3 linked regions of the Coturnix japonica genome follow. The protein of the gene in region 2 purifies or fractionates together with the protein of the main gene of each other region. This does not show direct contact. Links are inferred from orthologs where the notes say so. Each region holds a gene or a part of one and is shown on either strand. Other genes may lie near its edges.

Evidence for each region.
Region 1: the proteins of MTMR2 (region 2) and MTMR10 purify together in Homo sapiens (affinity purification with mass spectrometry; 5 studies listed by BioGRID and IntAct, with this or other methods). This does not show direct contact. The link is inferred for Coturnix japonica from reciprocal best matches to the Homo sapiens genes MTMR2 and MTMR10.
Region 3: the proteins of MTMR2 (region 2) and MTMR12 purify together in Homo sapiens (affinity purification with mass spectrometry; 5 studies listed by BioGRID and IntAct, with this or other methods). This does not show direct contact. The link is inferred for Coturnix japonica from reciprocal best matches to the Homo sapiens genes MTMR2 and MTMR12.

Annotation. Positions count from the first base shown.
Region 1 is NC_029525.1:4,815,228-4,824,959, forward strand, and holds part of MTMR10 (myotubularin-related protein 10), read left to right. Parts: intron 1-2,583; coding exon 2,584-2,674; intron 2,675-5,064; coding exon 5,065-5,248; intron 5,249-5,658; coding exon 5,659-5,746; intron 5,747-5,890; coding exon 5,891-5,979; intron 5,980-6,311; coding exon 6,312-6,442; intron 6,443-6,558; coding exon 6,559-6,628; intron 6,629-6,816; coding exon 6,817-6,887; intron 6,888-7,761; coding exon 7,762-7,931; intron 7,932-8,135; coding exon 8,136-8,306; intron 8,307-8,944; coding exon 8,945-9,127; intron 9,128-9,638; coding exon 9,639-9,732.
Region 2 is NC_029516.1:165,632,400-165,642,822, reverse strand, and holds the start of MTMR2 (myotubularin-related protein 2), read right to left. Parts: upstream 6,787-10,423; 5' UTR 6,687-6,786; coding exon 6,604-6,686; intron 1-6,603. UniProt on the Homo sapiens protein: Lipid phosphatase that specifically dephosphorylates the D-3 position of phosphatidylinositol 3-phosphate and phosphatidylinositol 3,5-bisphosphate, generating phosphatidylinositol and phosphatidylinositol 5-phosphate.
Region 3 is NC_029547.1:8,937,138-8,946,869, reverse strand, and holds part of MTMR12 (myotubularin-related protein 12), read left to right. Parts: intron 1-1,710; coding exon 1,711-1,789; intron 1,790-3,416; coding exon 3,417-3,487; intron 3,488-4,675; coding exon 4,676-4,848; intron 4,849-5,529; coding exon 5,530-5,697; intron 5,698-6,355; coding exon 6,356-6,517; intron 6,518-7,543; coding exon 7,544-8,119; 3' UTR 8,120-9,732. UniProt on the Homo sapiens protein: Acts as an adapter for the myotubularin-related phosphatases. Regulates phosphatase MTM1 protein stability and possibly its intracellular location. By stabilizing MTM1 protein levels, required for skeletal muscle maintenance but not for myogenesis.

The sequences.
Region 1 (9,732 bases), on a different chromosome or scaffold from region 2:
TGCTTTCCAGCTCTTCGTACTGGTAAAACTCCTGGTGAGGAAGGAAAGCCTTGCCATGCAAGTATTGGTTATTCTGTGCAGCAAGGGGTTGTGCAGAGGGCGCTGACATGGGGAAACGGCCTTTGTGCAGTGAAATAATTAAACCCATTGTGTTTACTGCTCTTAATAAATGAACTTTCCAGCAGGCAGCCTATTCTCCTGTTGTTTCACTGAGCCGAAATATCTTCAGCTTTACACAATCTTAAATTGGCAAAAAATACCAAACATTTTTCAGTTTGATATGAGAACATTTCCTGTAAAACATGTTTGTCCTCCCATTTAATCACTTGCTGCTTATGGTGGTAATCTGCTGAGATCTGTGGAATTTACTTGTCCTTTGAAACTCACAGACAATCAAACTACTGTGCAAGTTTAGGAAGGGAGAGAAAATGAGTGTCTTTGATGTTGCTTTGTGCGTATTACTCATTTATTTTCTAAAATGTAAAATGGGAGCTGCTTGATTTTATTTATTTAAAACAATGGAAATGGGGTTTGGGACCTCAGCTGTGATCCACAGATGGGCTGTTTCACCCACACTGTAGCTGGGCGGGCACTGTCTGTACACCTAAGAAATGTTCTGTAGCAGCTGGGCTCAAGCAGAGCTGTGGTCTCGTTTGCTGTGCAGCAGATCTCAGTGTTACCATCTCCCCTCAGCAGCTCAGCCCTCTTAACACGCCACACACACTTCCTTTTTCAAAGACAGTTCTTAGATTCTGCTTTTAGAAGTAGTTTTTACTGCATTTCTGTTGTATTATTTGGCAGCACAGTGGGATCTTTTTATGCCTTTCAGTTCATCCTCAAGCCTTGAAACCTGATCAGCATAGCAAAAAGCTTTCATCCTTCATGCCCATAAATGAAGATTGTGAGTGGCTCTAGCAGCAGTTGCTCTAATGAAAAGTTAATGAGAAAAATGGAAGTCGGAATGTAGATGTCTGCACATTTCCATTTTGCTTCACTGTCACTGACGAACAAAATCAGCCCTTTAGAAAATGCCAAGCATTACAGAATCGCTGTTGCCTTATTAGAGTTCTTCAGCTTTTTGAATTACAAGGTGTATTAGAATGTGCAGGGCTTCCAATTACTTCTTGATAGTTATTAATGGCTGTACCAAATCCTAGATATGAGCTAATAAACGGTTGTGCTAGGCCATTTCCCTGTAACACTTCCCTGTTCCTTTTTCCATCCTCTGTTTTGTATTGCAGCTCTGTGGTAAAACTGAAAGTGGTGGAGAAAAGGCAAAGCAACTGTTTTGTAAAGCTGAATAGGAATTGTTCTGTTGGGGAGTTGTGGGGGGGAGAAATAAATCAGCTCTAGTTAGTCTGCAGTCATTACATTGCAGGAAGTGTCCCCATCAAAAGCCAGTCTCAATAAAATACATGGCAAAGGTTCCATAATGCTGCTCACACGTTGTATTCAATTACTAGTAGTACAGAAGTGTTCTCCATGCAGAACTTAGCACAAATGAGCTCTGATGTGTTTCCCGTTGCACAATGATGCGAGTAGTCGTATTCCTTCAGCTGGTGTAATGAATATACTTCTTTTATGTGTTTCATAATAAAACAACTTTCCTTCGCTTCCATTCCTTGGAAGCACAGAAACTTTCCCTTTTACTTGTTGGTGATTTTTCCACCTGAAAGCAGTGACAGACAGCAGGACTTGACTGCTGACCCGATATCTGATCTTCAGCAGTGAGTTACACTCTTAGTTTTAACAAGACAAATTCTACTAAAAAGGACTCTGTTTGGAGAGAAATCGAATGGCTTATAGCTGGTCCTGAGACTGCTACAAAGAATGTGAAAGTTTAGACAAGTCTCCTCCTTGTGCTTCAGGCTGATCTCTGCTGTTCTGGAGATGCACCTCTTATTTGAAATCTCTGCTGAATTTCTCTTCCCAGGGCAGGGGCTGTGACTCAACCTGGTCAAACCTGATTGCTGCATCAGGTTGTCAGAGATGCTGTTGGTGCTTGCTAAGCCCGCAGGCATCTAGAAGTGATGGGCGCGTTTCTTTCCTGAATGAAAACAAGCCATCTGAGTCTGAAGCTGTATGGGCTGGGCCAGACTTAGCGAGGCTGACACGTTGCTGTGTTTCAGTTGGCTCCTGCTTCAGTTCTCACAGCTGAGCAGTGCGAAGAACTGCAGTTCCCCCACCCTTGACAAACAGCACTAACATGAACATTTTGTTTTTACTGAGTTTGGAAATTGGTGGAGAAACTTCAGCCTCTCATTCAACGGGTAAACTACAAACATCAATAGAGCATCTCCCACTGTGCATTATTCATTTGCAAGCAGCATATGGAAAAAAGCTGCTCTTTATTACTGAATAATTTGCTTTTTACTTGCATTCATAAGTACTTTTTACAATTTTGGAACACAATATAGTGTAAAATTGACATAGGTCCTTCAACAGGCAACCTCTTGTTTTCCCTTTTAATCAGTATGGAGGTAGAGCACCTAAAGACTGGTTTTAGGTTTTGTTATTCTTACCATAATAATGGACAATAAATTTTATGTAGATAAGCATTAGTAATAACTGTTTCTATCCTAGGTGTGCCTTGCAATAGCTCATTATTCTCAGCCAACGGATCTTCAGCTTCTCTTTGCATTCGAGTATGTTGGGGAAATATATCATAATCCAGGTATGTATGAAAATGTTTTCGTTATTCCACAATGTGTACATTTAGTAAGACTTCTATCCAGAAACAACAGCAAAAAGTGAGTCAGTAGGGGTAATTAAAGTGGCCTGTCCTGCAGCCAGTCTCTTACTATCAGATGCAAGTCAGTCATCATGATAGACTTTAAATACCAAAATCAAAAGAAATATCTTGTGTGAAACAAAGCTACTGATGTCAGCATGAATATTTCTCAATTCACACTTTGATCCTCCTATCAGCATATTGGTCTCTACTGGTGCTCTAGGTGCCTAGCTAATCTCCCATCAGGCAGGCTCATTCACCTGCCCTTCTTTTGGGAATAAGTTTCTCTTCTGGTGGTATTGCAGGAGGATTTGTGCAGCTTGGGACTCCAAACCTTCTTTCCTAGAGGCTTACTAGGCAGTTCTTCCCACCCAAAACCTCCACCACCCCTGCTGAGTTGGAGCACACCCTCTCTGCTCAAGGCCAATCTCCAACTGAACCCTGTCAGTTAGGTAAGCCTGAAAAAGATGCCTTTGGAACTTGATTTCTAGTGTCATGCTGTGCGGTCACTGCTTAGTGTTCCCCAGCCAATATACAGCTGAAAACCATCAGTTCTAGCACTGCAAGCCTCCAAATAGCAGAAGTACCATCAGCGTAGTTCTGTGGTACTGAAATATTTACCCAGCAGCTGAGATTAGAAACCACTGATCTGCCTGGTACTAAATTTGAATGTTGTGGAATTGTAGGCTCAGACATTCAAATTTGTACAAAGACGAACATTTTCCATGCAGGTGCCTACATGACCGCCATGTGCATGCACAGGAATGAATGTGCATGTGATTATATTGCACGCGTAATTACATACTATCTTACCTGGTAAATCTTTGGTGGTTTTTAAGGTCTGTGTATGTTAGTGTAATGAAGTACCAGGGAGGAAGTCATTTTGCAGATAAGAGGACAATGAAGTTAAAGCAGAGCATGAACAAAATACGGATCTGTCGCAGAGTTGCCTTAACTCTGTTCTTAAAGTACAGTTTGTTATATGGGGAAAAACAAGTAGGGGAACAGTTAGAAGAGGTGGGTAGAATGCTTATTCCTATGGAGCAGCAGATCAGAATGGCAGAAACTGGTCATTCTGTTACGCTGTAGTTGCTAATGGGAAAAGCTTGAAGCACTTGGTGTTGGTTGATACTGTTTTTAGCTGGAAGATCTCCATGTATTAAAGTGACCCCTGGTTGGTTTGTGGCATGGATCTCTGGCTTTGCTCCTACCACTCCAGCACTGTGTTCTGTAACTGTCTGTTCTCAGCAATCCTGGTACAGTGGGACTTCAAATAGTGTCGTTATACATAAAGAGCCTGCGTTGCTCTGGTGTACCTGGACATCATTTTATCCTAGACTATGTTTGATAAATAACTGTTGTTAAGCAGTGAATTTCTTACATGAACCACCAGGTAATTATAGTACTCCTCTGTGCACTCTGTTTGGAAAACTCCTTCATTCTGAGTTCTGTAGTTTTCTTCAGAAAGAATGGAATTGTAAAAAGTCCGAGTGCTCAAGTTGACAGATAACACAAGTTAGAAATTGCACTCACTGACATCACAGTGGAGTGACTTCTGCTTTGCTTGTGCAGAATTCACATTGTTCCTTCCATCTTTACGGTGCTTACTGGGAGCTTTCCTGGGGGAAGTCTCAGCTTCTTTCACCTTCATTTAATAACTTTGCCAAGTACGGAGGAACAGAATGCAGTCTCCTTTGTCGCAGCTGGCTGCCTCCTTGGCACCTAAAGAATGACCAGCAAGGAGGATTTTCTGTAATAATAACAGGGCATATCATCTTGGTCCCTACCCACAAAGCGATGGGCCGGGTGTGCACGTCTGTGTGTGTGTATGTACATATATAACAGGTATTTTAGAAAATAAACACTATGAAACAGTTTTTAGCGTAGTCTTCACTTGAGTTTTCTTTTTTATTAAATAGATGGTAATTTATATGGAAAAGCTGTTGAAATTATGTACCAAGTATTTAATTCATGCAGAAGACAATTAAAGGGCAGTGTTTAACAGTTAGTTATTTCTGCAACATCTGTGACTTTGGCATGTTGAAGAGAGAAATCTTGTCACTGAAGATAAGCTCTGCTCCTGGCCATTAGCATGTCCTGCTTTGTAGTGAGCAGCACAACACTCCAGCTTTATACCACACACCAGCTTTTTGTTGCTTCTCTGTTGACCTCGCAGGAAGAAAATGCATTTGCATCTTAGCCATCATTGAGCCAAAGATCTGTGTTCATGCAAAAATAGGTAAAGCTGGTCCGATATTAGTGACTTGCTCTTGTAATTAGGAAGATAAATGTTTTATTTTTTTAATGTGCATTGATGAATTTTCTTTTCCTAGCAAAGAAGGTGAATGGAGTGGACCCAGGAGGCGGCGGTGGCAGCGGTGGAGGCATCAGCAGTGCCAGCGGTCAGCAGACACCTTTGTTTGAAACTTACTCTGATTGGGATAGAGAAATCAAAAGGACGGGTGCATCAGAGTGGAGAGTTTGTTCTGTCAATGAAGGCTACATGATATCCACTTGGTAAGTTTTTCTTATAATGCAAGTAAGCATAGAAGCAAACAGGGCAACTACACTGTCTTTGATCCTCTAACAAAGTTGCAATCCCACCTAACTCTAATTTAACTCATCAGAGTGCTCTATGGAGAGAGCCCTCCACTGGAAGGTCCTGCAGGTGCCATCTTTGTAGGAATGCCCTGTTTTCAGAGTGTTGGATCTGGCATCCGTTTCTTTCATGCTCTTATACTTCCCCCTGAAATTTGCATGTCTGTAAGCAAATACATCTGAGCTGTACACATAGGAGATGCACATGATAACTACTTAGCCTATTAACATTTGGCACAATAGAGTTGTGTAGACAGTATTGCAACAAGAGAAAAGCTGATAAAAATAATAAGGAAAAGTAACTTTTTGTTCTGTGTTTGTCTCCCAAGCCTTCCAGAATATTTTGTGGTCCCTTCTTCCTTAGCAGATCAAGACCTTAAGCTCTACTCCCACTCGTTTATTGGGAGACGAATGCCAGTAAGTAAAGCCTTTGTTCTTTATTAATACAGCACTAAAAAGAAGATATGTATGCCTGTTAACATGGTTATAAAGAGCGTTAAGGGAAAAAATGCATGGAATAACACAAACATGCTTTGCTGGTTTGTGTTTTTTGTATATTAGTTATGGTCCTGGAATCATCCCAACGGGAGTGCCCTTGTCAGGATGGCCAGCATTAAGGATGTGCTGCAACAAAGAAGAATTGATCAAAGGTAAAGAATTAGTTGATGTTATCCTTTAACACAGCATAAAGCACAGGGCAATGGTGTGTAACGTAGAGCAGCATTCTGTAATGCAGAGCATGCTTTTTCTTAATGTTACAGTGTGAAAGCTTGAGAAACTCCTCTGAGTTCAGGCACATGTTTTGAGCCAGCAGCTCTGTGGCAGGAGCAGTGCATCTCCTAAAGATAAACATGAACTCGTTCTTTCTTAACAAAGCATGTTTTACAAGTTTTTAGTGTTTTGCAGTTTGGAATGTTTCGTAAGTACTCTCCCCAGTAAAAAAAACTGATGGTTTTTTATTTTTACTTCTTTAATACCCAAGGATTTGTAATGCAATAACTCGAAGCCATCCCCTGAGAAGCGATGTTTACAAATCTGATCTGGACAAGTGTCTCCCCAACATCCAGGAAATCCAGGCTGCGCACATCAAACTCAAACAACTGTGTGTTAATGGTAAGCTGAACAGTCTTCCTCTTAGTGGTGATTTCCTTGGACTACAATTCTAATAGATCTGGCTGGCAGGTGTAGTTATTCATTGTTCTGCAGCGTTACTGCTTTCCTTGTTGCAGAGCCCTTCGAAGAAACGGAAGAGAAGTGGCTGTCCTCACTGGAGAATACTCGCTGGTTAGAGTATATCAGGTTTGTGTCATTAATAAAACGATGGTACATGAGGTGTAAAAAACTTGCACAATGTAAGAAGTGATTCAGTTGAAGGATCTGCTATTTTAATTAACAAATTAGGTAAAAAATAGATAGGAATAATGTTTTTTATTTTAGAGTGTGAACCTGTAATATTAATTGTTACATCACTTTCTTTCCCTGTCTAGATCATTTCTTAAGCATTCTGCTGAGCTCGTGTATATGATGGAGTGTAAGCATGTTTCTGTAGTTCTACAAGGTAATACAACCATGCCCCTAATTATTAGCATTATTGACGTAATGTACACAAACACAATTTCTTAAAGTCAACTTATCATCTTTATGAATGATAAACACATCACTTCTAAGTATGTTAAATATTCAAGGAACTGGAAGACATTTTATTACGTGTCTGGGCTGCATTATTGTCCATAACATCAAAGGGGTATTTCACTTAGAGCCCTCTTGTTTTTTCTCTGATAATGACAGAATCAGAACTGCCCCGTGGACTTTTGCACTGTGTTGGTTGGGCTAATGTTCCTCGCATAAGCAATACTGCTTTAATTCTAAGGGCCCACTCACCAGCTGATGGCACTCAGTTACACCAGAGCAGCCAACATCAGTGCAAACAGACATTCTAGAAAAAATACTCTGAAAAACTTTCTGCTATCTGGATCAGAAATGGTGTCATCTCTGCCCTTTTACAAGACATGTTCAACTAGTGTTGCACTTGCCCAGCACTGGTTTATTAGCATTCTAAGAATTGCTTCCAGGTAAAACATGTTCAAGCTCTCCCTCAACACCATCACCCTCCTTCAGAGCACCTCTTCCAAGTACCAGGCTTTCCAGGGGATGCTTTGGTTCTTTATGACTGCGTTGCTGTGCTGGATATGTAGCAGGAACCATCAGTATAGGATGAGTCTCACTGAAAATATCTAGCTTTTCTTTGAAACTGAGAAAAAGTTTGAATTAAATGCAAAGATATTTATTTCTATAATTATAAATTATTTTAAAGGAAATTAAAAACTAAACTCAGTTGCCAGCTTGTGCTCTTTGGGATGTTATTCTGTGTATGTGTATGCATATACTTATATACACCTTATATATTTCCTATGTTCTGTGTGTGATTGCAGAGGAAGAGGGACGGGACCTGAGCTGTCTTGCTGCTTCCCTTGTTCAAGTCATGCTGGATCCCTATTTTCGAACCATTGTTGGATTTCAAAGCTTGATACAGAAGGAATGGGTCATGGCAGGATATCAGTTTTTAGATAGGTGTAACCACTTAAAGAGATCTGACAAAGAGGTAAAAGTGCCTTTCTTCTCCTCTGATAACAGCATTGTCTTAAACATTTACTCACAAATAGTCTGAAAGTAAAAATGTTTTCCATGCTTTGAAATATCATGAAGCTGACATTAGAGTAAGTGAGTTGCTGTCCAGGGCAGAGAAATACTGTTTATCTGTCGTTGTTGTGTGAGATCTAATCAAATTCCCTGTTTCTCTTCCCAGTCCCCTTTGTTCCTGATGTTTCTCGACTGTGTTTGGCAGCTGCTAGAACAGTACCCAGCAGCCTTTGAGTTTTCTGAAATGTACTTGACGATCCTGTACGACAGTGCACGTATCTCACTGTTTGGCACTTTCCTTTTCAACTGTCCGCATCAACGAGTAAAGGAAAGCACTGTGAGTATGAAGCATTACACCCCCTGTTCAGTTACAGCTGGTTGTTCCAGAAATAGCAGCATCTGCACTGAGCAGTACTCCTTTGTGTTCTCCAAAATGTCACTCTCTTGTTTGGTGTAAAATACTCCCCAGGTGAACATGATCACAGTGTCCTTTGAGGTGAGCTTTGCATAGATGGTAAGAGGGTTCTGGAAGAAAGTTTGTTGAATTTCCTTTTTTCTACATAGTTTTGTTTATTTGTATGTTATTACTTTCACTCTGCTAAGAGACAGATGTATTTATGTCTGGAATTGTAGAATGCCAGGCAGTGCTGCAGGGAGCAACCTTACAAAGAAGTAGAACATTGAAAAACCACAAGTGGATTCTCGGAATAAGAGTTGAAGGGTTTTAATAGTGAACACTTTGGTACCATTGAGGAGTGCTTTCTGCTGAGTGTTAGTCCTGCCTCTCTGCTGCACAAACAAAAAGCAGGGTGCAGCAGTTTCCTCCAGCAGCAGACTGTCTTGTTGCACTGTTCTGATCTGCAGCTACCTCTAAGTTATGTCTCTGCTCTTCTTCACCGGGTTATTGCACACTGCTATGGCTCAGATTTGTGAAAGGCATTTGATTTGTAACATGCCGAATGTTACTTCTTGCAGGAATTTGCTATAAGCAAAAACATTCAGCTGGGTGATGAGAAAGGCCTCAGATTTCCTTGTGTTTGGGACTGGTCTCTTCAGTTTACAAGCAGGGATCGCCTGCTCTTTCACAACCCTCTGTATATTGGGAAGAGCGCACCGTGTGTGCAGAACGGAGCAGTGAAAACTTTCAAGCGCTCAAAGGTAACGTTGGTGACTTCTGGTTGGGGATGGGTGGGTTGTGCTTAACTGTAATGGTGCTTAAAAATGTGCAAGTACATGTGTTGTACACTGTCACTTAGGAGTGCTAAGGCTTCTCTTACCTTCACAGCCTTAAGAAAGGGTACACAAAGGGTCTTCAGTAGAAGCCTGTAGCTGTGTTCCAGGACATTCCCTGATTCACCTCAGCTCGCTGCTGACGGCTGCATTATTTCACCTGTGGAAAAGCAGCGACACACTCCTTTCTTTTCTGCAGAGTTGTCAGTTTTGTCAGTGAATGCTGATGACTTCAATTGTTTGTTGTTTTGCTAAGTCTGAAAAACCTAAGTATTTCTTCCTGAAGGCTTTAAGTGGCCCCATTTGGTCTGTGAGCCGTGCAATGGCTCCTATGTGCAGAACTGTTTGAAGGTCAGATCGTTCAGCTGGTTAATGCTTCACAGGAGCTCAGGGAGATCTGCTGCAGTGAGCATAAATGACCAGTATTTCTTCTCTGCAGAAAAACTACAGCTCGACGTTGCGAGGTGTCCCCCCAGCATTAAAAAATGGAATCATCAGTGAGCAGGAGTTCCTTCCAAGAAGAAACTCTCTGA
Region 2 (10,423 bases):
CAAAAAAATCGGAGACAAAAGGTTATATATTTCTGTATTTCTCCAACTTGACTGAAGTCTGATTCAAGAGAATTTTCCACATGTTCATGACATCTTTCTCATCAAGGTATTTTATTATGTTGAAAAAGAAACAAGCATTTTCACTAATGGAAGAACTGACACAGACACCTTTGCCACCTCCGCCTTTGCTTAAATGCAAAATGTGATATTAGCTATTACTTCTACCCCTCTGACAAACGCAGTTAAAACTGTCCAAAGGTTACAGAAACTAACAGTGAACAAAGCAGACAGATGTGTACTGATACATGAGGAAACATGGCTACATGAGGAAACCAGGCTATAAATCTCTGTTCTCTTTTCAGTTGCCAACAGATTTAGTTAACATGGAAAAGAGGGAGAACACGAGTTAATAGCTCCTTCCTTTTTCAGCGTGGAGAACAAGCCAAATTCAGTACACTTTTTGACCCTTACACAAGATGGGGAGAGAGTTCTGTGTAGGTGTTCACATTTGAATTACTGTAGGCTCTCCTTGCAGTTGCTGGGAAGAAAAAGATATGAATTACTTCATTCCCATTGTCTACAAAAAGAAATCCAGAGACTGGCACAGATGTGCGTCAGAGAGGTCTGCAGTGAGATGAGAGAAAGTTTATCCAAGAGGTCTGTATTTTTCTTTATGAGAGATGAAAGCAGGAGGTGAAATACACAACAGAACACTGTCAGTGTCAAAATGGAATGTCTGCTACTAGAATGAAGAACATAGCTTGAATTTTCAAGAGAATCCTACTCCAAAAGCCACTTTGGGTAAAATGGAAGCAGAGGATTCCATGTATTTCTTTACCAGCGATGCTGATCAGTTTTTACTTGTTAAAGGTGTCCCAACTGCTGATTTGGACAATCATCTTTCAGCAGCCTATCTCTGGTAGCACAGGTTTCAGTCACTTCCCTGTGGGACAGCTCCTATAGATGTACACAACCAACTCACTCCTTGGCTTCAGCTCATCCACACGCAGATTTTGCTGAAATAACTGATGAGTTTGGTCCTATCCATCTTTGCAGTCTTTGTCTTTAAGAAGGACTGGTGTGAATCAAAATCAATAGGGCCTCTTAATATAACAAGAATTCTTTATTCTCAGGTAAGGGAAGAGGAACCAATGAGGCTGTGGTTTAGGAGTTCAAATATTATATAATGCACATATTAGTGCCTTTTTGTGCCAGGGAAACTAACAAACAAAAACATGAACAAAAACAACTTGCACAAAAACACATCACGTAAGACATGCAAGAAACCTAAGTTGTATATTCATTCTACCATTATAATTTTTGGAAAGAAGAAACCATCAACGTGAATCTCATTCTTCTTGGCAAAGGACTCCAGATGCTGAGCACTGTGTAAAATCCACCAGGGCCACAGTAACACCATCAGCCTGGAACCAAGAGGCATCGGAGAGGGGTGAGCCCAGCACCAGGAAGAGATGCTGAAACTAAAAACCTGAGTCTATGACACTTGTAACTCATCGTTCTTCCTTTTTCTGTATCAAGCGCATCCAGACTGATAACGATTAGACTTTCAAGATTTCATTTACACTAACAATAAATTTTGGCTATATAAAGACACGCTGCCCTTTCACCAATGAACAATATTTCAAGTGTAACAATTTGTACCAGGACATAGGCTCTTTACTTCACAATGAATTAATCCAAATAAAACTGTTGTTTTATTCTAACCAGATGTTGCCCATCTTCCCAGAATAAAGAAGAAAAAAACACCCTAAGTTTGTTCTCTCTGACAGCAGAAACATGATCGTACCCACACCTGATCCAGATCAAATCCGTACCATTGGGTGATGTAACGTTAGTGGTCCCCAAGGCACTGCCAGAAGCCTATAGAAAGGCAAGGTCTGTCAAGTGGGAGCATTTGTGCATAGATAGCAAGATGACTAGAATATCATTTTGAAGGGGTTATGGACTTGAAAACTACTAACAGTTTTTCTTCATTAAATACATCAGGGCTTAGAAAGCAATGGAAAAGAATTCATGGAGCAGAAAGGCAACAGAGGCAAGGAAAAGAGCTACCTTGAAATCACTGGAAAATTACTGAGTGAGAACATTGTCTGGCAAAGGAAACTACAGATGGTAGGAAAAGGAAAAACAAATACTTGAAAAGTTCCACTGATTTTCTGTTGTTGTCTTTCACAGAATTTTTCTTCAATTAGCTCCTACTTACTGGGGCTATAAAACAGCCAGATGTTTTCCAGTTAAAAATGAAGACTTGGGGTAATTACCGTGACAATATCCTTTTTGTACCTTCCCTTTGCTGGGTTATTATCCCTAACACCTCTACAAGCGAAGCACTTCATTACCTTCCCATCACCCTCTTCTTTATGGTGGAATGGGTTTCCCATGGACAAACTACAGCATCATATTTTTCATGGCCTCTTATACAACTACACCTTGTATATAACACCTGATCATGGCAACCTCTGGAAAGCTTCTGATGCATTTCTAATGCATGCTGGCTCTTCCCCTTTTCTTCCCCCATCCCAACTAAGTTCTCAGGTAACTTAAGCTCTTTGGGGTATGGATCAGGTCTCTTTTACACCACCTAATACCTTCAACACTAAAAAAACATTCACAGTAAAGCAGGTCATCAGGAAAATGTTAACAAAAAAGAAGCTGCAGGCTATTGATTCTTCTGAGCCATTCCAGAGGTGTTATGACCTTTCTAAATGTACTTCTTACCTTTGGTCAAAAACAATAGAAGAAGAGAAGAAATGCAACCATTAAAATATAAGAAACAGATAATTAACCTGTTGAAGATCAGTATTAACCTATAAATGAAGTCAGAGCAGGAGGAGAATCAGATAATACATAGGAATGTGTCACTGACATCATTGGGTCATCCCAAGTCTTACAATTCAGGTTCTGTAATTGTGTTCCTGCTGTAAATAGCCTGTAGTTACAGGACTATGCGTAAGACTCAAAACTGTCTAGCAAACAGACTATTAGTCAACATAATAGCACCATCTCTCTTCAGAAAAGGCAGTGCCTGATAGGACCCCAGAGGGCCGTGTTCTCAGCCTCACTCTATTCCTCATCAGCTGTCAGATCTGGCCTCATCTCTCCGCAGCAGTTTTTCATCTCATTCTTAGACTTTCTCGCTCTTCGCTCCATCTCTCAGCAAGGAGCCACAGTGCTCTACTGAACGTCCAAGAGCTCAGTACAGCAACCCGCCAGGCACTGGTAAAAATAGAGCAGCCCTGGCTCTCCAATGCAGAAATCAGCTCTTTCTGTATTTGTATGGCAGCTAAAGCTGTGGCACCCCAAATTCTCATAAGGCCTCTAACCAATAATTTAACATGAATTAGAATGCAAGAAACAGGTGAATGTCAACTGCATTTTGTATTCTCAAATAGAAAACACACTTATAAAAAAAAAGAAAAAGAAAAAGAAAGAACATGTGCACTTTTATTGAATGTTTAGAATCTGGACAAAGGAATCTGTGTGTGCCCAAAAGGGAAACTTGTATGGCTGAAGGTCTCATAAGCCAAGAGAAGCAGGAACTGAAATGTGGATGCCAAAGTCTGCTACTAAAAGCAATTCTCGTATTCTTCAAAGGTCAGAGTTTCTCCTCACAAATGCACTGCAAATGTTCACCCAAAAAGACTCCACAGCTTTATTTTATCAGTTTTCTACCTGAATCCTCTGACCCCAACAACAGACTCTCCTCATTCTGCGAGTCACGTAAACAAAACTATTCCTTATCTTCACAATATGCAGTACTTGAGAAAAAAATAATCTATCTCAAAATGGGCCTTAGTTGCAAGTAAGTGTTATAAATTATCACTCCTATATTAAAATTAATAATAATGAGTGTGCTGGGAGCTGCTAACTGCTTCTAGGCATAGCGTTTATTTTCTCAGATACAAAGAATCAGTTCATTATCAGCACTCAGCAAGCAACATACTTGTCTTCAATGGCAACAACTCTCAGAAATCCTGCTGCACGCATAGAAGAAATCAAAAGCAAGAAGTGCTCTCAAAGTCCAGGAAGAAAAAGACAGCTACTCGCATTTCACTGAATGCCAGAACTGGCAAAAACCCTTCCTTTTCAAACTCTAACTTCAATGACTCATCACAAAACAACTCCATCAGCAAATCACACACATCTGGTAGCAATGTGGTGCTAGCGAGCCCTCCTCAGCCAACAGCTTACAGATCCAACTCCTTCCAGCATCACTCTCATCTGTGGGGAAAGAATTCCTTCAACATAGCCTTAAATCAGAGCAGGTATTGACAGGACCTTATTTGAGATGAACGGAGTTCATACCTCGTGGAGCTATTGCTTCAACAGACCTCGCTGCACTGATTTACACAGAGCTTATGTTTTCTGAGTTACCCCTGCAAACGCTAAGGACAAGGAGCGTGATTGTTTTCATATGCTTCAGCATGAAGCACAGCGCACAGGATTCACTGCGCCCGCAGACCTCTACGGAGCATAACTGCCAGCAGAGAGGTGGTAACAAGCAACCAGAAAGTGGGAACATCAAACATCGCTACAGTCACGCTGGCAGGAAACATCTGCCCACTGCCTTATCTCTGTCTGTCATTTTAGACTGAGGTTGAAAAATCACCGACATCTCCTGCAGCAATTTCCTTCCTGTACAATCACATCCACGCTTCTGCACAGGCAGTACAAATTCACCTTCAGTGGACCTAACAGAGAGACTCCTGGCCATTCTACTTGTCTGTTGTTCAGACTGAGCTTTAATATGTTTTTCAAACGTTTTTTATGGAAGCACACAGAGATTTGTTCATTTGGAGACTAAGACATGGAATCACAACACAAACAAAATGCCTTATCACCTTTAATGTCACCTACAATTTGATATCACCTTTTAATTTAATTAATTTCACAGAGAGTCTTTCCAAACTATTACTTAGCACAGTGAAAAGGTATTTATCAGTCCCCCAGAAGCCCCAGACCATCACTCAGGTCTACTGAAACATCAAAGCAACCTCCACTATCAGACGTCACCAACATCCCATTTGCACAACCAAATGACAAACATTCTAACACGTGTGTTTTTTAAGGTCCTTATTCACGTGAGCAACCTTTCCAATGGTAAACTCTACCAGCTGTGCCTTACCAAGGGCTCAGAACTCAAAGCTGTCCTACCTTACAGACCACAATAAGAAAGGGATGAAAATAAATATATTGTATGTTGAATGTAAAATACATTCAACCATACAAATATGTTTCAGGGTATTTGCATCGAGATGTTGGAGCAGAGACTTGAAATTCTGAAGGTTATCAGATAAGCTTCTTAATACCCCAAGAAAACTGTTCAAGTTAAGGCCTTTTCAGGACTTGGAGGACAGTCCTGTGCATGCTCAGCAGAGACAGATTTACCACCTCCATCTCCCAGTGCTTCCATCTGTACAGGGCATGCTGCTGAGTAAGGTTCTTCCAAGGTAAGCTGTGTTTCCATGACTGCAGGTCCCAGTTTCCTGTACAGTGACTGACCTTCAGATGGGTCCAAGCTGCCCCAGCTGATGCAGAGAGTGGACGAGAATTATACTGGGGAAGTGAGGAAAAAGAGAAACGGCATCTGGCAGGTAAAGCACACTATGGAAACAGATACAGAAAACAGAAGAGCTTGATGAAGCAGAGTGAAATGGTCACAGAGGACATGAGAAGGATGCGCTATCGATGCAGAGTGGGCACTGCCTGCCTGGGGGTCCTGCTGGGTGGCACAGCAGAGCAGAAGTCAATGTCACCCTGGGATGAAGGCACAGGGGAAGCACCAGGAGATGCAGGGAAAGGTCCGCCTCCTCAACTCAGTGCTCATTGATGTGCTTCTGGGATCTGCATACAGTTTCTATCTCCCTAAAGGCACTGGAGGGGAGCTCAGGAGAGACCACTGAGAGGGTGGGGGCTGGACCACCTCCCCCATAAGGATGGACTGGGTTTGGTCAGCCTGGAGCAGGAAATACTTCAGAAGGACCCACAGGAAGCCCCAGAGGCTACACAGAAGGTATCAAAGGGATGGAGGACGTGCAGTCGCTATCCTTGCACGTTTCCAGTATGACCTGGCCTCCGAGCCATGCCAGCAGGACTGAGAGATCCTTATGGCCATTCAACCTGGGCACAGAGGGCAGCCAGAACGTGGCAGGACCCCTCCAGCCTCCGGGGCATCGTCCGTCCTCCCTGTGCCCCACCCTCACAGCCTCGCAAGATGTGCTTCTGAGTCACGGCATCCACACCTCTCCCACACCCTGCGAGACGCAGGAAGCCTCGCAGAGGTAATTTCCTCTCGGAAATCACCCACGCAGCATTAAAATGTCATTAAGAGTAAAATAAAAAAATAAAAAATCAGGCTCTCCTAAGGCTGTCGGGGGACAAAACGACACGGATTCAACAAACCCCACGACCTTCGCTCCTGTTAATAAGACGGCACAGGGCTCAGCCGCCCCGAGCAGCATTCAGCACTGATGGAGAACGGCGGCACCGATGTTCTCCCCCCGCCCCGCCACGGCTCCGTGCAGCGGGACGGCCCTTCAGGCCCAGCCCTGAGGAGCTGGAGCTGCCCGCGGGGGCCGTTACCTGGACAGGGAATCGCCGCTGGGCGGCCGCGCTGCCACCGCCCGCCCGGCGCCGAGGCTCTCGCAGCTGGAGCTCTCCTCCATGCCGGGCTGCGGGGCGGCCCCGGGACGGGCGGCCGTCAGCCGAGAGCGGGGATGGAGGCGGCCATGCCGGCCCGGCGTGCTGAGCGGGGAGGGCGGGCCGAGGCGGGGCGATACCGAGCGCTGCCGCTCCCTTTGCCGCAGCCTGCCCGCCTCTCAGCGACCGCAGCCCGGTGAGGTCGGTGAGGGATAGCGGTTACGGGCGTCACCGAGAGCCGCCGTGGTGTCAGGGTCAGCGCTGTTTAAGGTCTTCGCCAAAGACGCTGACAGTGGGGTCTGCACCCTTAGCAAGTTTACTGATGATGCTCCAGAGAGATGAGATGTCATCCAAGGAGACCTCGACAGGATCCAGCAGTGGGTCCAGGTGAACCTCATAGGGATCACAGAATCACAGAATCACAGAATCACGGAATCACAGAATCACAGAATGACCCGAGTTGGAAGGGACCTCAAGGATCATGTAGTTCCAACCCCCCCTGCCTGGCAGGGCCACCAAACATACACATTTACTAGATCAGGTTGCCCAGGGCCCCGTCCAACCTGGTCTTGAACACCTCCAAGGACAGGGCATCCACAACCTCCTTGGGCCTAACCACTCTCCTAGTGAAGAACTTCCCCCCTAAGGGATCAACAAAGCCGAGTGTAAGGCCTGCAACTGGGCTTTGGCAAGCAAGGGGTATAAGGATTGAGCACAGCCCTGCTGAAAAGGACTTTGGGGTACTGACTGATGGCAAGCTGTGTATGAGCCAGCAATGCACCCTTACAGCCCAGAGAACCAGCCGTATCCTAGGCTGCATCCAAAGCAGTGTGGCCATCAGGGTGAGGGAGGTGATCCTGCCCCTCTGCTCTGTGCTGTGAGGCCTCATATTGGAGCAGTTTGATGAGCAAGAGAAGAGCTCTTAACATTATTTACAAAGACTCAGGAGGAACTGCAGCTGATGCTTCCCTCTCACAGTGTCTTTTGAACACATTAGCTGTTTTGACAAAGGTTCTATGAGGCAGACAAGAAGCCAAAGCACTGTTAGCAAGCAGGAGGGTTTCAGTAAAGCCTGCTAGTCAGCAGTCTGTTGGTAGAGGCAAGAGAACACCCAGTGTCACAAATATGACTCCCAGGGGACATCCATGCTTGAAACAGTAACTCAAAACGTCATAAATCCTCTACAAATCTGAATGTTCTATGGATGTAAAATGGTTACTCATCACCCATTTGCTCTCCAAAGAGTAAGTCAGTTGATGTACCTCCTCCTGCTGTTTCCCAGTTTGCTCCTGTCACTGGATGTAAGTCCAAAGCACTTCGAGTCACTTGCAAACTGGTGAGGGCAAGCAGGATGTTGAAGCCGTATTGCAGCAGCCCCGTCTGAGACAGCATTAAGCTGCTGTGAAATTCCCTCCCCTGCTCTTCCCTTTAGTGTCTTTCAGCTGCTGTTGAGCAAGCTCGATGTGGGATGGTTTGAAGCTGGTTTAAACTTGAAAACACAGCTTTGTCAAAGCAATTTTTTTCCCCGCTGTTTTGGTTTTCTTTTTTAACTTCAGAAAAAGTCCCTGAATTGCCAGATGAGTTTGTCTAGTCCTTTCATTTATTCACTTATTTCTTTATTTTCCTTTTCAGCCTAGAACACGGGCTGGCAGGGGCTGCTGAAGCAGCAGCAGCAGATCTGCATCTCTGGTAAGCGGTCACATAACTCCTGGCTGCCTTTTCTCTGTTCTTCAGTCCCTTCCCAGTCCCTCTCAGGACTGAGTTCCTGAAGGCGTTAACCCTTAGCAAAGGTCGCTATTGTGGAAGTGGTACAGAGCCGTGTATGTCTCGCTTTCCAATCTTATCAGACTGATACCCTTATGGTGAGTTGCAGTTACCTTCGTTCCCACTGCGTATGTAGTTTGATAGCAGCACAGTTGTTTAAAAGAAGTCAAGTAGGAGTAAAAACAATATACAAGCCCCCTTTGCTATGTGAAAGTATTAGAGTGCCTTCTTTTCTTCCTAATTTGCCATTGATGTGGCATCTCTATGTAGTTTATTGATGAAGTGCGCTATTTGCTTTTCATTGCCCTGTTTTGTTCTTGGCCTTATCCCCAGGGCCTGTGAAACCCTTTAGAAACTCTCTCTGGTGCTTTGTAAATGAGAACAAAGCTAATCACCTCCTGGATCTCTCCTGCCGCTGAAAAGAACTACCAGGCTGCTCAGCGAGTCTCTGTGCTCAGCAATAGCACGTTTTCAAAGTCAGGCAGAATTTTCTCCCTGGGAAGTGAGTTACCTCAGGGCTGGTGGAAGTGATGGAGAATTAACTAAAGGCCCTGACATAACCAAAACCAATTAAGGAAAATTCACAAGACTCGTTTATAACTGATATAAAATAAATAGCCTTTCTTTCTTACCTGAAGAGGAGTGGCCAGCAGGGACAGGGAAGTGATTGTCCCTCTCTACTCTGCTCTCATGAGGCTTCATCTGGAGTACTGTGTCCAGGTGTACCCTCAACACAAGGAAGACACTGAGCTGTTGGAGAGGCTTCAGAGGATGTCCACAATGATCAGGGGGCTGGAGCACGTCTACTACAAAGACAGACTGAGGGAGCTGGGCTTGTTTAGCCCGGAGAAGAGAAGGCTGCAGGGTGACCTCATTGCAGCCTTCCAGTACCTAAAGGGAGCCTATAAACAGGAGGGGAGTCAACTCTTTGAAAGGGTAGATAATAACAAGACAAGGGGAAATGGTTTTCAGTTGAAGGAGGGAAGATTTGGGTTGGATATCAGGGGCAAGTTCTTTTCCAGGAGAGTAGTGGGGTGCTGGAACAGGCTGCCCAGAGAGTCTGTGGGTGCCCCATCCCTGGAGGTGTTAAAGGCCAGGCTGAATGGGGGCCTGGGCATCTAGTTGGGAGTTGGTGGCCCTACATGCAGTAGGGTAGTTGGCACTTGATGATCTTTGAGGTCCCTTCCAACTCAATCCATTCTTTGATTCAATTATTCTATGATTCTTTAGGCATTTAGAGGTGAAAAGTTGTGAAGACTACAAAGCAAAGGGGACAATTTTATGTACTACATAAAACAAGTGAGGGGAAGTAAAATTTTGTCTCTGTCCTTCAACATGAAAGATAGTGTATGCATCCATTATATTTAAACTACATGTCTGTAGAGTAAAGGCGTTCTAGCTGAATGTGTGCATGTAGTGCATGCATCTGGTGTATGATAGATGAATGTGCTAGATTTTACAAGCATCCCAGTCCTGGAACTCCTTGGCTTTACTGCTGCACAGTCAATCAGCCTCACTCTGTCCCCTGCTTATATGGATCTTGTGGGGATGTTTGGTCGTCGTCTATAACTCTTTGACCAAACATAGCTGGGACACTGTGTGCCAGAGCAGATAAACAGTTCTTCTTCTACATTAGTCAAAGGGAAAGGCTGTGTGCTCTGATGATTCTAAGAAGGCATGATCTCTTGCTGCAGTCTTTATCATACCCTGCCCTTCCATCGTACAGCTCATCAGACATTCCCCTCCTTCCCACTCTTCTCCATCAAACAACAGAGTTTTTTGAAAGCCCTGTAAATACAGAGGGAGGGCTGCCCTAATACCTTTCAAAAATGGTGCCCTTGTCCTCCACTTCATCACCGACATTAAACTCACTCTCCTTGCTGGAGCTCTGGATCACCCATATTTTCCTCAAATTACTCATGTGTTCCTGTATCACTGCCTGTGCCCTGTTAGCCAACACACTAAATAACTCCAGGCAGTGGCAGCTTCACACACTGTG
Region 3 (9,732 bases), on a different chromosome or scaffold from region 2:
TCAGTAGTAATAAACAGTGTAGCCAGTTCTTTCTGGGAGAGCTGAGAGAAAAGTGTTAGTTTGTTATATTCTTCAAAGAAAAAAAAATGCATAAAATTAATATTCAATTCTATAACAATACATAAGTGCAATTTTAAGCAGTATTTAGCTGCAGCTTCTGGTCTATCTGTCTAGTTTTCAAATCTGAATTAATCACTTTTCAATTGAGCCCACAAGCTTCTATGTGTAACAGCTGCACAGAAAAAGAATCATTCCACAATTTAATAAATATCATTGGGCAACACTGTTTAGGCTGCTAGTTGATCTTCTGATCCCATTTTTACTCTTCTGGAGTGTTCTCCATGCGTCCTGCACTAGCATACAAGTACTTAACTGTAAGACCACTACACCCGACTGTGATGGTTGGTGATAATGGTTGAGTGAACCTGATTCTGGAAGTATATAATGGTGCCTTTAAGTTTGCCTTATAAAATATGCTCTGCTTCCATCTGGGCTCTCACCTCAAAGTAATGCTGCCTGGTAGCTACTGCCTCATAGCACTGTCTCCTGGTAGTGCATGTGGTTCACCAGTAAAATAATCTCTCCTGCCCGTTGTTGAGGACTTTGCACTAACAGATGTCTTCTTTGGAGGTGATGCACCACTGTCCTTTTTTGCTTCTTGCATTTGCCTTCAGTAGGTTCAATATTCAACATCAGAATCTTCAACTCTCAAGTTCAGAAGAGATGAAGTGCTGTGCAAATTGAACATAAACGCTTAGTTTCCAGAGTCACAGGATATGAGTATTCTCCTGCCACAGCTTTGCAAACTCGTACTCAAATTTTCATGTACTTGGCATCAAACTTCTGATCTGATAATGTATGTTCTGAAGCTTTAGTACAGTCTGTCAGTTCCCAAGACTGTTCATTTCTGTGGCATTACTACTCTTGAGCAAGCCAAATAACATCGGCTTTTCTTTGTTCTGGTACAAAGCAATTAACTTTGCTGTTTTCTTTGGATGTTCTCCAGTGCTATGCAGTGTCAAAGCTCTGGCCTGGTTCCATAACTGATGGGGTGGAGGGACCCACAAACCCATGCCTTAGGAGAGGGGATAGAGAAAATATTGGGAGGTGAGCCTAAAAATAAAACAGTGGCAGTGAGCTAAGGGAGAAGACTAATTTGCTAAATGTGATAGCAGGATGCAAGGTGACACAATACAATTGGAATTGAAGCTAATAAATAAAGTGAGATTAGAGAGTGTCCAAAACCAAAGGCCCTACTGTAATGCTGAAGGCAAGGTGGTCAGGGAGCACACGGTGCAGAGATGAGCAGTAAAAGAAAGGGCAGTCTCATGACTTGAGAGCAGTTTCATCTTTCCCTCTGAATGGAAAATGGAAATGGAATAGTTAAGTCTTATGGGATTTCTATTTTTTCTCTTCTAAGAAAGGTATACCCAGAACTACTGACAATCCACAGACTTGGTGGCCTAACTATTAAACTCCCAGTGTACTACATGATGTTACGATATAGAATATCAGTTACAAAAGTCATAAAACCACAAAGTGATTATCAACAACTGGACGCACTGCCAAATCTATCGCTGAATCTTTTATGCACTGGCAAAAACTCTGCAGCTTGGAATGCATGCCACACTTTGTAATTGAGAGCTAATATAATGGATGGCCATCACTTGGTGGTACATGTGAGTAAACTGCTTTTTTTGTTTTGTTCAGATAACAGTACGGACTTCTGGGCAACTGATGTGAAGTGGTTTTCGTTGTTGGAGAGCACAAACTGGCTAGAGATCATCAGGTTTGCTATACCTATAACTCTTGTTTTCAGATTGTTGCTAGTTGAATTTCTAGAGAGTTTTCAAGAATTTTCTTTCCTACTGGAAAGGTGAAGGACATCCTTGTATTTCAAGAAACTAAGACAATATTATGGTCCTATTTATCTTTCTTCTACAACATAGTTCACCATTTCTACAGTGCAGAACTGTGTTAAGCACCCCACTTTTAAAAGATTGGGAGAAGCAACAGATCATTCTAATGACAGTTCTTTTAGGAAATCTCTTAAAACTATGGGTCTGTGAATTTCCTTCCTGTACTTAGTCAGCTTCTTTCCAAACTGAAGTATTCTTTCTTTCTTTCTTGCATGAAACCTGTTCCATGTCTGACTAGCCTTGCCATTCTTTGTACTCTCTACTTCTATAATATCCTTTAGGATGGGATGAACTGCAGTATTCAAGATGTTAGCCCACCACAGATTAATAAAATGACAGTTGTTCTCAGTTTTGTCCCCTTCCTCTCCTGATTGTTCCTCAAGTTCTTTTTCTTCTCTCAGCAATCCACAGTGAGTAAGTCTTGGAATGGTGTTGGCTGGCATAAGGCTTGTTGTAGTGGAATGTTGAGGTTCTTTTCTTTGTTTTCAGTGTTACTTTGTGCTGTCTGAATTATCTGTTGGCTTATTCTGTGATCAGCTTGTTACTATGAAGTACTTCTTCAGTTTTTTGCAGTCAGCTTAAGTTCATTCTGTGTGGAGTAATAGTCAACAAATACTGACGTTGATTGAATGAGAGGTTCTTGTGAAGGTCATATGTTGGGAAGTCCATTGACATAACTCATTTATTACGATTAACTAAAGTACATACCAGCCCAAACTCCTATCCTTAGGTTGCTTTGAGACTGGTCATTCCATACTTGTATGCAGTTACTTTCTGAATCAGTATATTCTTGGCTCTTGGAGTCAGTAGGAATGCCCTCTCAACCACACTAAAGAATCCAACAGCTTTACAATTGGAGACTAAACCGTTCACATCTGTCAGTGGCCTGATCAGCTGTAAGAATCATCATTTGCATGCAAACATTTTCACTAAGTGCCAACTTCATCAAGGGTTAGGGCTAGAAACCAGCAGTGTAAGTCTGTTTTTACATGGTCTTTAACTCCACTCAGTCATCCTTGTGTAATGATAATCTCTGAATAAGCATTGTCTGCATGCTTACAACATCTGATTGCTGATCTTCCCCTCTCTTGCTCAAAAACAGATTGTGGGAGAAATACACCATGTAGCAGGTTGGAAAATAAGTGAGGCTATGTACTAAGAAAAAGATCTGGATCTCAGCAATAGTAACGCTTCGTCTTTGTAATGATTTGTACTGATTCAGAATCAAGTACTGTATGATGAATGTACAGAGCTAACAACTGGAAATGTGTGATTGATTGCTAAATAAGGATACCTCCTGGAAGCTTGATGTTGAAATGAAGTGCTTCTTCATCTGTAGAAGATGAGTGAAGTTTTATATTAAAAGAATCAGCAAGTCTCAGTAGTGCATTTTAACTCCTTTTTAGGGAGCATCTTTTTTTCTTAATAAAAAACATTTTAATAGCTAACTGGCTAACATCTTAATGGTTAAACTAATCTCTTCCTGTACCACAATAGGCGAGTCTTGAAGAAAGCTATAGAAGTTGTTGAGTGTCTGGAAAGGCAGCATACAAATGTTCTCCTTATTGGTAAGAAATTAATGAGATTATCCTATTTTATATTATTTCAAATTTCAATATATTACCCTATTTGTAGAAATAATTCTGATTTTTCTTTTGAAGTTTTAAAAATGTAGCTTAAGCTCTCGGTTCATAAAAAATATGGTAGAAACTGGTACAATTGATAAGTGTCTGCTACTTTAAGTGTGCTAAGATCACATGTTCTTGGAAATACTTACTGTAGCTTAAAAACAAGACTACCAACAGGACAAACAAACAGGAAAAAAACATAAGGAAACATTCAGTAAGCATGGCTCAGAGCTAAGAGGAATAGATTATGAAGGAGAAAGCTGCTTATAAACTTTTATGCAAATTGTACTGTCTCTTATTCATTCTCATTTCCTAACTTATTTTTAAGGTCTTTTGCTCTGTTTTGAGGCTGAAGAGAGAGGATGAGCTTCACACAGAGCATAGAGAATAAGAGCTTTTTAAAGTGTTATTTTTGCTCTAGATGCACACTAACATATATAATCACTTTACTAAAAAGTGTATGCTTACTGTATACATCTTAAGCAGTGTGTCTGCCCAGACTGATGAAAGTAATCGCATAGAAAACCAAACTTAATGTTAACCAACACCCTTTTTTTCTATCAACACTTGAGGGATTTTTTGACCACGTTACCATTTGAGAAACCTAGCTCTGGAAGACATTTCTCAAAGGCACGTGAATGACAGAAGATGGATATTGCACAAGGGAGCAATTTCAGCACTGTTGTACACTCCTTACATTATGTCTCTTGTGTGCATTTAGGAATACTTAAAATCACAGCCACACCTTGTGCAAAGGTGCATGCAGAACAATAGGGAGAGGATTGAGTAGCTGGTATAATAACTTAAGGCAGGAGGGGGCAGTATGTGCCCTGTGGGAGACTGAAAGGCATAGGGATCAAAATCAGAGTATTGAAAGTTTGCTTTGTATTTTGTCTAGCATATATGTCCAAAAACCTTTGTTTTCAGAAAAAAAAAAAATAATAATTTTAAAAAACAGTATTAGAAATACAGATTTAATGTTTCTCTGATATAACTTGTGAGGAATTGTGTGCTTCTGTGTTTTAAAATACAGTTTTGATTTGTAACATGCAGTTAGTAATTCTTTGCTTTGTTACCCAAATTTTAAGGAATGGTTTAGACAATGCAGCTTTTTCTTCTCTTCTGTAGAAGAGAGTGCCACTGATATGTGCTGTGTAATCTCCAGTCTGGTTCAAGTGATGATGGATTCATACAGCAGAACAAAGCTGGGATTTCAGAGCCTTATTCAGAAGGAGTGGGTAATTGGAGGACATGGCTTCTTGGATCGTTGTAACCATTTACATAAAAGTGACAAAGAAGAGGTATATTTTTCTTTAATTTTCCTTACCTGTTATCTAAAATTTTATCTAGTTTAAAGAGGGGCTTAGCTGTCCATCCAGAAGCTCCTTTGTTTTTCTTTCTGCTTCATGGGTGAATATTTGATATAGTATTAGTGTTTCTGCTATATAGAGTTCATCAATGCCTTTACAACTAAAGAATAGACATGAAATTTCAATTCAGTCTGTGAGCCTTTCAAAAAAGACTTGCATCTTGTGTCCTTTTAAACTGTGAAATAGTTAACATCCATAGAAACAACTTAACGTGAATTATGCGTTTTTTGTCACAGCTCCATGTTTGTATTTTGGGCATGAATCAGATTGCTGTAAGGAATTGCAATCATTGATGCAAACTGTTCAATTCTAATTAACAGTTGTTATGAGCTAGTTTTGCAACTTAGAAAGTGGCTCCTCTGCAGCCTTGTATAGTGAGCTAATGTGTAAAATTCAGCTTAGAAAGTGTTGCTCTCTTCTGTTAACAGCTGGCTTGGGGTCACTCAGATGATACTGCAGAGTTCAGCCCAAGCTGTATACAGCAATTCCATAATTCCCCAGGTTGTGTTCTTTGATTTGAGTTTGTAGATGCTAAATACTGTAAAATAAATGGTCTGCATGATAGAATGTACTTTTTTGTGTGTGTGAAATTGATGAGATGTTTTCTTTCAGGCTCCTGTGTTTCTGCTCTTGCTGAACTGTGTCTGGCAGCTGGTACAACAGTATCCTGCAGCATTTGAGTTCACAGAAACTTACTTAACTGTCTTGTCTGACAGCCTCTATGTGCCTATATTCAGCACTTTCTTCTTCAACTCACAACATCAAAAAGACACTACTATGGTAAGGGTTTGTTTTGTGAATGCAGTCTGTTGGATAACAAGTTTGACCAATAGGCAAGGAATACTCAGAAAAAGAATAAAATCACTAGTAGCGTGTTTTTTCCTATTTAATTGAAGAATGGTGCTTTGGAGGTGAATCAGTGCAACTTTGGATCTAGAGAGTCATGTCCAGTACCTCTGAGTGTATGATGACAAGATGAAAATAACTCAAATCTGTTACTTCTGGTGTGGGGCAGTAGTTCCACATTCATTACTTATCAGTGGAAAACTGAGCTGCTTAACCCAGGCTGTCCTGCAGAAGTTACCTACAAAATTCTTCTGTCACATACTCTTTGTTCTAAAATCAGTGGTTTTTGGCTGTTGATTTATATTTGATTAATGCTTTTCCTTAGCTTAAGCAGGTGGAAGTAGGCGGTAAGGAGCCTAAGAAATTAAAGATCACTGTTTAGCATACGAAGTGCTGAGCATAACATTTAAATTGGCATCACTGCATGACTGCAGTGAAATAGAGAGGTTTATTCCATAATCCTGACATGCCCTCTGTGTTGGAGTTCAATTATCCATTTCCCACCCAGCTTTCAGAATGTTTCTTAAGTTCACCTTGACTTGGTCAGTAATCCTTTCTAACTGTCTTAGTTGTGACCTGTTTGTTTTGGCAGACCGGTGAAAGCCAGAAGACACAAAGCAGTCCTTTCAGATTCCTCACTGTGTGGGACTGGTCTGTGCAGTTTGATCTCAAGGCCCAGGCTTTTCTGAACAACCCTCTTTATGCAGAGAAACCAAAACCAGAAAAAAGCCAACGGAAAACAGCACGATTCAAAGTAAGATATATATATGTATTTTTTGCTTAACCTGTTATTTCTATAGCTCAAAAATAAGAAAAAGTAGCACAACTTGGTTATACTTCTAACATGCTTACAGTAGCGGTATTACCGTCAACTATCAATTGACAAAACGTGTACAGCTCAGACTCATCTAGGTCTTGAGTGCTGCTTGCATCTCTCTCAGCTTTTCAATCAGTCTTCCATGGTTTCTGTGCACAGCACAGCTTTTCTTACTACTGCACTTGCATACAGCTACTAACTTCTTCCTGGAACTTAACGTTCAGGTGAGTTGTAATGATTTTAAGTTATTTTATTGTTTTGTTCCAAAAGTACTTAATTGAATTGCATAGCAAGCTTGTAATTGCCTCCCTGATTTTTGCCTTGAGTGTAATGGGAGTCTGTGCATGCGTTAAGAAACAAAACAAACCCAGAATCAAACAACATCAAGGGTTCAGAGTATTGAGTGGATCACCTCATTACTGGCAAATAACATAAATTCAAAAAAAGGAACTTATTTGGGGTAGCTGTTCTGAACTTTCCCTGTTGTCTAAAGTCTGTTTTGTACTAAAGCATTCTCAGGTGTGACACTGTTATGACACACAGTGTAATTTGCTTCTATAAAGTGGCAAGTAATGAGGAAATGTAGAATTAAAAACTTCTAAGTCAAATGCGCTTTGATTTGTATGGCCATCTTAAATTAAACTTGGAAATCTGTGTACTTGTATGAAGGGCATTTTCGTGTTTCAAGGAATGCTTTGTTCAGTGTTACTTTGCTGCTGTAGTTGCAGGCGAAGTAGATGCAAATACAGAATACTGTGTGAGTTATTTGATACGTTAGCCATCAAGAGTGGCAGACACTATAGCAAAGGCCAGGCTGTGTTTAAGTCACTTCATTGCTTTTAGGTATTTAGTGAGGTATAACTGTATTTCTGAATACGGTTTCAATGTTTTTCTTACTGAAGATTCTTAAAGTGTCATCAATATTTATCTCAGTATATTTTTATTTTCTTTTTCCCCTTAAAGCATCAACGGCAGCTTTCTTTGCCACTGACACAAACAAAGTCTTCGCCAAAGAGGGGATTTTTCAGGGAGGAAACAGATCATCTAATTAAAAACATTCTAGGTAAAAGAATTGGCAAGTTCATTAATTCTTCAGATGAACCTCCGAACAGCTTCAGGGAGTTTTATGATAGCTGGCATAGTAAACCTGTTGATTATCATGGTCTTCTGTTGCCTCGCATCGATGGACCTGAAATCAAAGTCTGGGCTCAGCGCTATTTACGATGGATTCCTGAAGCGCAGCTTCATGGCGGTGGTACAATCGCCACAGCCGCCAAGATTTTGGACTTGATGGAGGAAGTGCAAAACTTGCAAGTGAAAATGGATGAAGAACATAGTCAGGCTGTTTCTGGAGACATACACGCTGTTCCAGTGCTGAGGAATTCTGCTCGTTTGTCATCTTTGTTTCCTTTTGCTTTACTTCAGAGACAGTCTGTCAAACCCGCTTTACCCACGAGCACCTGGAAAGACTTGGAAGATGAGGATGACTTGGTCAAGAGAGATGATGAATTTGTTGATCTAAGTAGTGATATGTTATAAAGTCTGTATAAATTTATGTACGTATTCTATGTGGTTAAGCTCTGAGTTTAAGATGTTTTGCTGTATCCTGATCTAAAGAACTCGAGTACCTACAGCCTGCTGAGTGGGTTTGTAGGGTATAGGAAACTTGGCTGAGTATATTTTGAACTTTGATTTTACTCTAACAGTATTTATTGCAGAAACGCATCTATAGAATAGGTTTTTTAAAAATACAGATCTAGGCTGCCATGAAATGCAGCCATGAGGCTGCTTTATGTGAAAACATTTTCTGATTCAAAGGTAGAATACTTAAATGTGTGCAGCAACAGTTATGAGGAATCTGCAGACTTGCTGAACATCAAACCTTCTTCCTTTTGTGCTAAAAACTAATAGGACCTATTAATACATCTGCAGTTGTTTACCATGTGAAACGAAGAGGGGAAGGTGAAACTAAATGTGCTTTCAAGCATAAGTTTTTACAACTGAGGACAAAACCTGGGGATTTCTGTCTGATGTGGCATCAAATGAAGTCATGTGCTTGTCAGCCTCATCCTTTCTAGCGGTGTACATGATTGGCTTGCAGAACTTGACCTTGTGTAGTGGTATAATAGCAGCTTGGCTTTTCTGAGACTCTGCTTGCACATAGCTCTTGCACCTGATCTTTAAGCTAAACTAAACATTTCAGGACCTGTTGTGTCTGCTGTCATACTCCCTTTGCTGCCTTGGAAAATTAAGTCCCAAATGTTTGCTGTTGATTGTAGGAAATGGCCTGACAGAGATTCTAGTTTGTTATGGATATTCTTTTCCTCTCATGTAGATGAGGAGATTTTTACTCTAATTTCCCTGCATATGCCATTTGCCTTTGAGGCTTTCTGAAGCTTGCACTGAGACCTCCACATGGAAGGGAAGACAGTCTTGAATTTGCAGCTTGTTGCCACTTGACATGAGTTAGTGGTACAGCTTATGAATGTGGCTTTCATACCCTACAAACATTTGCATCCTGTTTCTGGATGTTCTAACAGTACCTCAGTGAGAAAAGCCATAAAGAAATGCCTGTTGACTTTTTGATCTACTGTGTGTATGTTTATATAAAAAGTATTTTTGCTGCAGATAACTGTCCTTTGTAGAGTTGAGTGTTATTTGACTGTCAAGTCTATTTTGAACCCTTAAATGGTAGAGTACCCCAAGAATGGATGCAAATCATAGCATTGGTTAATTTGAGATGGTGGAAGTTGAATGTTCTCTGTATTCTTCTGTGATTTATAAATCCACGCTGGAAAATCTAAACAGAGAAACTAACACTTTAAAATTTGATCAGCTCAGTGTAATCAGGGTTTTTAAACTAAGTTACAGATCAGTCACTTCGCAGTGAATTGCACTTCATACGTGTGACAAAAGATCATCTGCAGCTCTTTAAATACAGTGATGTTAGAAGAAATGTGTAAGTGGGGGAAGGGAGAGATCTTGCTGCAATTCTATGCCAAACTGAAGCTTCTCAACTCCTGATTGCCTTAATCTTAGCCCAACTTTGTAGCAGTGTGTTTAAAAATATGCTAATACTTACATATCCTTTCTGCTTTGATACATATCTCGTTGTTCATACAGCTAGCATTTACTGGAATGGGCTGTCCAGC